2 linked regions of the Ovis aries genome follow. The protein of the gene in region 1 interacts with the protein of each later gene in a biochemical or structural test. Links are inferred from orthologs where the notes say so. Each region holds a gene or a part of one and is shown on either strand. Other genes may lie near its edges.

Region 1 (4,431 bases):
ACATCCTTCAAATACACATTCCCTCCTCTAAATCATCACCTACAAAACACCATATCAACTATCTTAAGTACCACCCTCATTACGGAAAAACAGGCAGGAGAGAAAAGGGTGAGTGGAACCAGTCCCAGCTTGTCCTTTCAACAAGGATCAAATGTGGGGGGTTTTGCTTAAGAAAAAACCCTCTAGCCAATTAACTACAGAATCTCATTCAGAAATGAATATTCACTAAATTCACTAAACACAACATTAACGAGGAAATAAACATCAATAATGCCTACATCTCCAAGCAATAGTGGTCCCCTAAAAATGTCACAGGGGAATTTTTTCTTTTAATGTTCCACGAAAAGATTAATGAAAATATGAATCAAGCATGTCTTATGAATGATGTCTTATTTTTTCCCTCCAAAACACAGAGACAAGTTGAATACCACCACCCAGGGGCAAGGCATGGATCAGGTTCAGTGGCTTGTTTTGGTTCTGTAGTTTATGAAATAAGAAGTACAAGCCATTAAAAATCTAGCGAAAGAAAAATATTTCAAAGGCACTCTAAGATCTAGTGATTGTCTCTTCAGACGAAAACATCTTTTCAGCATAAAAGTAATGAAATCGCCTACTTGGCGACTTCCTAAGGCTCTGGGCTCTCGGTTTCAGTGGAATGGCATAAAGAAAGAAGGAATCAAGCCCGAAATTATAAAGGACCAAGAAAGTCAAAAGGCCCCAGAATGTTCCCAACCGTCTATTCGCCTGGCCTCAATAAATCAATATTGAAAGTTTGGCCTCGGCGTTTTCCAAGTGTCCCCAGTTTCGATTGTTTGGCCTTTTTTTTAATTTACGGGAAAAGGAAGAAACGCTTAATTTCTTTACACCTGCCTAGGGAAAAGAGGCCTTGACTTGCCCTTTCTGCCCACAAGGAAACATGGTAATACCTTTGTGGTGGCGGAAAAAAAAAAAAACGGGGGGGGGGGGGTGTTGTATGTTGGGAGAAGACAAGAGCTAAGCAAACAGAAGGATCAGCTAAAGTCAATATCTTTACCTGTGGTACTGAGCCTGTAAAAACTGAAACTCTTCCTTAATCCGATCACAGGACTCGGAAATGGTAAATTTAAAGGGTTGAGCAGGCTGATGCGGTGCCTAAAGAACAACAATAAAATATTTAATTAGCCCACAGCAGAAGCGAGGCAGAGAGATGGAGAAACCACCACGCGGCACTGGCGGGAGGGTGGGGGGTGTCATCTCAGGCAAAGAACGTGGAAAACTCTCCTCCCGCCCCCTCCCCTGGCCGCACAGCCAGGCTGAGGCTGGCCCCGGGCCCCCGCGTTCTGGCGCCCGCCCGGGACCCCGCGGGCTCGAGACCCCGCTCCCTTCCCACGTCAACGGCGGGGGCCCCGGGGCCGGCGCACCGCGCCCACAGCCTCCCCACCCGGAATCGAAACTGGCCCGTCGTGGGGACGCGCGCCATGGCGTCGGGCCGCGGTCAGGTCGGGGGAGGGGGCACGCGGCAGACACTCTCCCGGTCGGTCCGTCGGCTGGCTCGCTGATCTCCGGGACCCGCGGAGCGAAGGGCCGGCGCCCCGCACTCCCGAGCCGCCGCCGGACACGCCGCGCCGCCGCGGAGGGCGCCCTCCCCGCCCCGGCGCGGAGTCGCGCCTCCTCCATCGCTCGCCACCCCTCCTCCAGGAGTCGCGGCGCGGGGACGGCGAACAGCTCCGCGCGGCTTCCAGGGGCTTCAAAGACAACAATAAGAAAATGGCTACAACTCAATTGCTTCTCCGCACCCCCTCTCCGAAAGTGCCCTCGCGCCCGGGGAGAGCAGGGGCGGGGGGTGGAGGGCGACTCTCGAGCTGCGCGCGGGGTTTGGGCCGCCCTCCACGCCCCTCAGGCCAAAGACACAACTCAGCGCGCAGGGGGCGACGCGGGGAATCCCCCGGCGCCTGGTAAGCCCGCGCCCCCACCGCCCGCACTCACCGGGTGTCTGGTCTGCGGGTACATCTTGCTCAGGTCGCGAATCATCCAAACCGATTTAGTTGGCTGCGCTGGGCAGAGGCGCGCGGCTCATTGGCTTTAATGGCCCCGAGGAGGAGGCAGCGGCGGCGGAGGCGGCCGGCCGGGTCCGAGGGGCGGCTCGGACGGTCCCGGCCCCCGCTGGGTCTCGCGTGACGCGGACAGCAAGAACGCGCGGCGGCGGCGGCGCCTGGGTGCGGGCTGCCGAACCGCTCCGCATTCCCCGCGGGCGTCACTGGCCCGCCGCGGGCATTGTCCGGCGCGCGTCTCCCGCGGCAACGCTCCGACGTTCGCTCCGCTGAGGCGCGCCCGCCGAGCCCGGCGCCACAGCCGCGCGGCTCACCCGGGACGGGAAAGTGCGAGCTCCGCGCCCCAGCGCCCGCCGGCAGCGCCGCCCGTTCGCTCGCTGGCTCGCTCGGCGTCCCACTCCAAACTTTTTTTTATTTGTCTTTTAATTGGTTGTTATTCCTCCGAATGAATGATCTCTCTCTTCTTTCCTAAAAGCAAACACAAACTCCTTTGGTTCGGAAGAGGTCTCGGCGGTGCTTTTGGTTTCTCTGGAGATTTTTTCACCTCACAGCAACGATCTTTTAAAAGGCACCTTTTAGCTTCTTTTACCACATCTCATTTCCTTATTTTTCTTCCTTCCTGTTTTCTTGTCTTTTTTTTAACCCCAAATTGAAGGGGATTATAAAAATAAAAGAGTGAAACGCTTGCGGCTTTTTTTTTAATTCTCTCTCCTTTCAAACTCTGCGAACAGCACCTCAAAATAATATATAAGTGTGTGAGAGGGGGAAGAAAGCAGCCAACAGCTGAAACACCCGCTCAGAACAGCTCTAACAACACGCTCTGTGTAGGTGAGTTCTTTGACCAAATTTAGCAGCCGCTAATCATTAACATTCTGATACATATTCACAACCGTCCTTGGAGGGACCGCGGAGCATCCCGGGAGATGTAGTCCGCCTCCAGCGACGGTAGCCAAAGATTCAGCCAAATTGACTACAATCACCGGCCAGCCACGCGACCACTTTGGGGGGCCCTCCAAGCGTCCCGCCCACCCCCGGCGCGGTAGGCGTCTCCAACAACCAATCAGAGATGGCTGAACATTAATCGCCGTTCTGTGTTACTGCCCATCATTTCACTGCTGACAAATGGCGAACTAGAGGGGAGGAGCCGGCCTGGATGGAACCCACGTGGGGCCCGGGCGTCGTCCGTGGCTCGGACCAATGAATGCAACGAAATGGGGTGAGCGGAGGCGGGGCAGAGATGGCACGCCCAAGGCGGAGCTTCGCCTTGGCTGACGTTCCTGAGCGCGAGCGTTCGAACCGGGGAAACATTTGTTCGGCTGTCAATCAAAGTAACGTGGGCCTTGGAGCAGCGGTGGCTGCTGCTGCTGCTGCTGCTGCTGCTGCTGCCCTGGCTGCATCTTCAGAACTGGATGTTGGTGGCGGTGGTGGCGGCAAAATAAAGAGGGTTCAGGGGGCGGTAAGACTGGAAGTTAGTCAGAAGATCTTCCGAGTCTCGTCTTCCTTCCCGCCCCTCACCAACCCAAACATCCACGGCCCCATGCTCCGGGCCGCGCCAGGAATGCGGACTAATTAGGGTCCAATGTCTCCTTAAAGAGACAAGCTCGGCCTTGTGTAACGCTCCGAAACCCCTGTTGAGACAAGAGAGGGAGGATCACGCCGATCCCACTTCGTTCGGTTCACATCAATTTTACGCGCCGCTGGAGCTGGCATAATTTTCCGTGTGAACGCGGATTCGGGCCCCTGTTCTTGTTCAGAGCCCGAGACTGAGCTGCAAGACGCTGACCCGGGCGGGGGGCGGGGACGCGGGAGGAGGGGTGGCCCTCCGAGTCCCGAGCTGGCTGTGATTGCCGTTTAACCCCGAAGTGGGGCAACCTTCCCCAAGCAACTCTGCAAGGAAACTCCCCAGGACGCTCAGACTGGGGGTCGCGGGGGCGTCAGCGTGGAGTTTCAGGGTGGGACTGGAAGCCCGAGGTGGGCAGGGGTCGCCCGATTCCCGGAGAAACTTTGTCGAGAGAGCCACCTGCACCCCGCAGACTATCAGTTGGTCAGCGGGAAAAATAGGGTCATCCAGATGCTGGTCCCCGACACCGGGAAGAAAACGGACCTTCATGCCCCAAGATGCTCCCTCTCCCAGATCAGCAGGAAGAAGACTGCCCCTCATTTTCCCGTTTTTGGGAAGAGCAAGTCGAGCTTGTCGCTGTTGAAACGGGCAGGAAGCCACGCGAGAGGTGGCGGGTCGGCCACCTGGAAAGGGGACCGGGACTGGAAAGGTGGGGGCGTGTCCGGGGGTTGGAACCTGGGGAAGGGCATCCCTATGATAGAGGCTAAGAAATATGAGCGGACTTGGTGGCAATAAGGGACAGCCTAGGACCGGCAGCTTTTCCACCACTAGTCCAGCCAG
Region 2 (3,659 bases), about 5.6 Mb from region 1:
CCTCAACCACCCCCCTCCCAGCACCACGCTGAAGGCCTGGGAGAGACCCCACTCGCTAAGCCTACTACAGGAGGGGTGCCCCTCTCACTATGCCCAGATCCATCCTCTCCCCAGGGGTCCCCCCAAAAGGGGCCATTGCTGCTGTGCTCATACCCCCACACCTGCCAAGGGACCGACTTCCTAGAGGTGGCAAAGCACAGGCCATGGAGTCCTGCCAGGACTGCCTTTCCCTCCAAAGGGTGAAGATGGGAGGAGGCCAGGGAGAAGTCCAGTCCCAGCCGGCCCCTCGTCCTTTCCCAGAAGGCTTAGCCCCTTCCCCGAGGGTCAGGTGGAGGCTGGGCCCGGCGCCTCCAGAGCTCCGCAGGTAAGGGGAGCGCATAGCAGTCATTTGTGCTCCCGCTCCTGACAAAGGGCCTGGAAACAGATCCCTCAGAGCCGGTGGGTCCATCCCCAACGACGGCGCGCGCAGCGTCTCTTACCTTCGTCTCTCTTGCGCTTGTTGGTGTCGGCGCTGGGGGATGTGATGCCCAGGATGCCGCTGATGGAGTAGGAGGAGCCAGCCGAGTCCGTGCTCACCGAGGACACCTGCGTCACGGAGCCCGTGGACACTGCGCAGAGGGAGAGGACGGTCAAGGCCCGGCAGGAGGCTTGGCGTGGGGGGGGAGGCGGCTCCGGGGAGGAGGAAGGTTGGGCCCCAGCCATCGGGCCAAAACAAAGGCACTCCCCCAACACCAGCTTGGTGCGCCGAGCGGAGAGGGTGGGGGGCGTGCTAAGGATGCCTCCCCCTGAACAGCAGCCACACCTGGAAGATAAGAGCGCCCCCCCTCCCAAGAGAACTGACAGCGGTGAAAGGAACTCAAACCCAGCCTATCCAAGGATGCAGGAAGCAGGGGGATGGAGCAGAGAAACTGGGGAGCTGCAGCCCACAGCCAGCCAGTGCTAAAAACAACATACTATTTAGGCAGGGTCACTGCCTATTTACACATCCACCCAGCCACGCAGACATAAGTATCTGCACACTCACACACATAGCCAGCAAAGCACCTAATGAAGACTGTCTCTTTTTTTAATAGTTCCTCACTGTCTTTTCTCCTTCCAGTTTACCTGGATTTTAATCTTTAATATTAGTTATACAATATTAAAAGTGAAAGTGAAATTGCTCAGTCGTGTCCAACTCTTTGCGACCCCATGGACTGTAGCCTACCAGGATCCTTCGTCCATGGGATTTTCCAGGCGAGAGTACTGGAGTGGGTTGCCATTTCCTTCTCTAGGGGATCTTCCCAACCCAGGGATCGAACCTGGGTCTCCCACATTGCAGGCAGACGCTTTGCCATCTGAGCCACCAAGGAAGTCTTATATATATATTATATATATATTATATATATTAATATACTCTATGATATATACATTGATATATAATAATGTTCATCTTTTTTGAGAACTTACTCTATGCCAGGCATTCTTGCATTATCATATTTAATGCTGAGAACAAACTTATAAGTTAGGTCACTGGAAAGGTAAGGGAATCAAGGTTCACAGAAGGTAAGTGACTTGCCCAAAGTCACACAGCTAATGAGACAGTGCAGTGACTGGAACCCAAGAACTAAAGTCTTAAGCCCTGTAGTAATCTGCTCCTCACCAATGAATAATGAAAAAACAATAATATGCTTCACATTAATAATGTATTTTTCGTTTGATGCTTGCAATAACTGAATGCTATTATTCATTCTCATTTATCAAGTGAAGAAACTGAGCCTCCATACGGCAAAATGATTGGCTCAAAGTCATCACACTAATAAGCAGTAGCACCAGGGCTCAGCCTTGGGTCGTCTGGCTTAAAGTCTAGATTTCTTCCGCCCCCAAACGTGGGTTGATGACTTACTGTGAATGAGGTATTAATATCTAAGTTCCTAAGAATAAGAAAGGGGGAGGGGAGGTTTCAGCAAGTTTCACATTAACTCCTGGCCCCAGAATCTAAGAGGGAGGCCCTTCGGTCATCAGGGGCCTCTCAAGCTGTACAGCTGAATTTCCATTTCTGGGCTGTGGGAATTCTTTCTCGGTTCATTAAAACCTGTAGACCAATCTCAGGCACATTTCCTTTGGCCATAACTAGCTGGAGGCAGGTGGAGCTGCTTTTGACTCTAAAGCGTAAGAAAATACTGGAGATGGAGGTGATCCGTTGAGAAGCTGTTTGTTGCTTTTCTTGGAGCACATCCAGCTTTTGCCCCTCCAGACCTAAGGGGAACAGAGCTTTCTTCACATAGTTGAGTTTGATTTTAGATCTTCCTTGGGAGACACAGAAGTAGAAATCGTTAACTTCTCTTTTCCTTCACCAGAAGAAGCGCCTCAAAATAGATTTATGCAAATCTCACAACCTTTTTTGTGTTAAGGTGCAAAGAACAGAGGAAGAAAGAAGATCACAAGTCATTTGATACTTTAAACAACAACAACCACATGTAACCAAGGTTCACCACGCTGCTGACAGAGCTGATGACATTTGTTCCAATATTTTGTGATCACACTTAGCTCAAAAGACCCAGGTTCCAATTCTGGCTTCTCCACTTACTGGCCATGTGACCGAGGGCTAGTTATTTCTTCTCTCTAAAGCTTCCATTTCCTCACTCTTTGGTAAGTTTATAAGCTATTAGGGGTGGCATACACATAAGATATGGTTTTTATACCAACTTCTGAGATTAGGCATTCTGCTGACTGTCAAGTGGAATTATTCCTCTCACCCAGTTGAAAGAATATTATCAGTTACCCTTAGTAGTCATTGCTATAGGACCTGAAATAGTTAAAGCTGCAAATGAAATCCCAGACACAGATATTTCCCCAGAAACTTCCCTCAATCCTCTTCACTCCAGCTCAGCACAGCTGGTCCATCCCTCTCTTCTGTTCCCACAGCACCCCTACTTTCTTCTTGAGCCTGATCTCAGTATTCACAAACTTCTCTCTGTAATTGTTGTTGTTCAGTCGCTAAGTCATGTCTGACCCTTTGTGATCCCATGGACTGTAGCCCATCAGGCTCCTCTGTCCATGGGATCTCCCAGGCAAGAATACGGGAGCGAGCCACCTTTTCCTTCTCCGGTGGTGAGGCAGGGGGGTCTTCTCAACTCAGGGATCAAACCCTCATCTCCTGCATTGCCAGGCGGATTTTACCACAGAGCCATCAGGGAAGTCTGAAAACATCTGTCGAAACCTGGGCTCTGGGCTCTTTGTGATAGTCCCCATTAGACCAAGAAGCCCTTGAGAACGGGGGATTTTGTCCTACTCCTTTATAATGTTAGTCTCCACAACAGGTTGCATAGCAGGGGCTTAGCCGATGCTTTTTGGATGGATTACTAAATGAAGACTTATTTTATGTAAAGGAGGAATTCTGTCTTACTTTGATGTAAAGAGGCAACCATTAGCAATCAGAGAGCTTCATGCTTTCTCCCAGCTAACCAGAGGTGTTTCTCTTATCCCAGGTGGAGAAATAATACACCTTGAGTAGAAACATGTCACTTTCATCTCAGGATCTTTGCAGGGAAGGGAAGGCAAGGGAAACTTCTGAATTCCTGAGTAGTAGGAAATATAACTCCCCTCCTTGGTCACTGTCAGACTTCACCCGTGAGTGTCAGAAACCCCAGTGGCAGCCCTTGACAGTTCACGGAGCAACG

What was found. The genes of interacting proteins can lie anywhere in the genome.
Region 2: the proteins of TLE4 (region 1) and PAX5 form a complex in vitro, tested with the Homo sapiens proteins (2 studies listed by BioGRID). The link is inferred for Ovis aries from reciprocal best matches to the Homo sapiens genes TLE4 and PAX5.

Annotation. Positions count from the first base shown.
Region 1 is NC_056055.1:57,304,517-57,308,947, forward strand, and holds the start of TLE4 (transducin-like enhancer protein 4), read right to left. Parts: upstream 2,853-4,431; 5' UTR 2,011-2,852; coding exon 1,966-2,010; intron 1,676-1,965; exon of another isoform or gene 1,460-1,675; coding exon of another isoform or gene 1,421-1,459; intron 1,132-1,420; coding exon 1,034-1,131; intron 1-1,033. UniProt on the Homo sapiens protein: Transcriptional corepressor that binds to a number of transcription factors. Inhibits the transcriptional activation mediated by PAX5, and by CTNNB1 and TCF family members in Wnt signaling.
Region 2 is NC_056055.1:51,690,431-51,694,089, reverse strand, and holds part of PAX5 (paired box protein Pax-5), read right to left. Parts: intron 609-3,659; coding exon 480-608; intron 1-479. UniProt on the Homo sapiens protein: Transcription factor that plays an essential role in commitment of lymphoid progenitors to the B-lymphocyte lineage. Fulfills a dual role by repressing B-lineage inappropriate genes and simultaneously activating B-lineage-specific genes.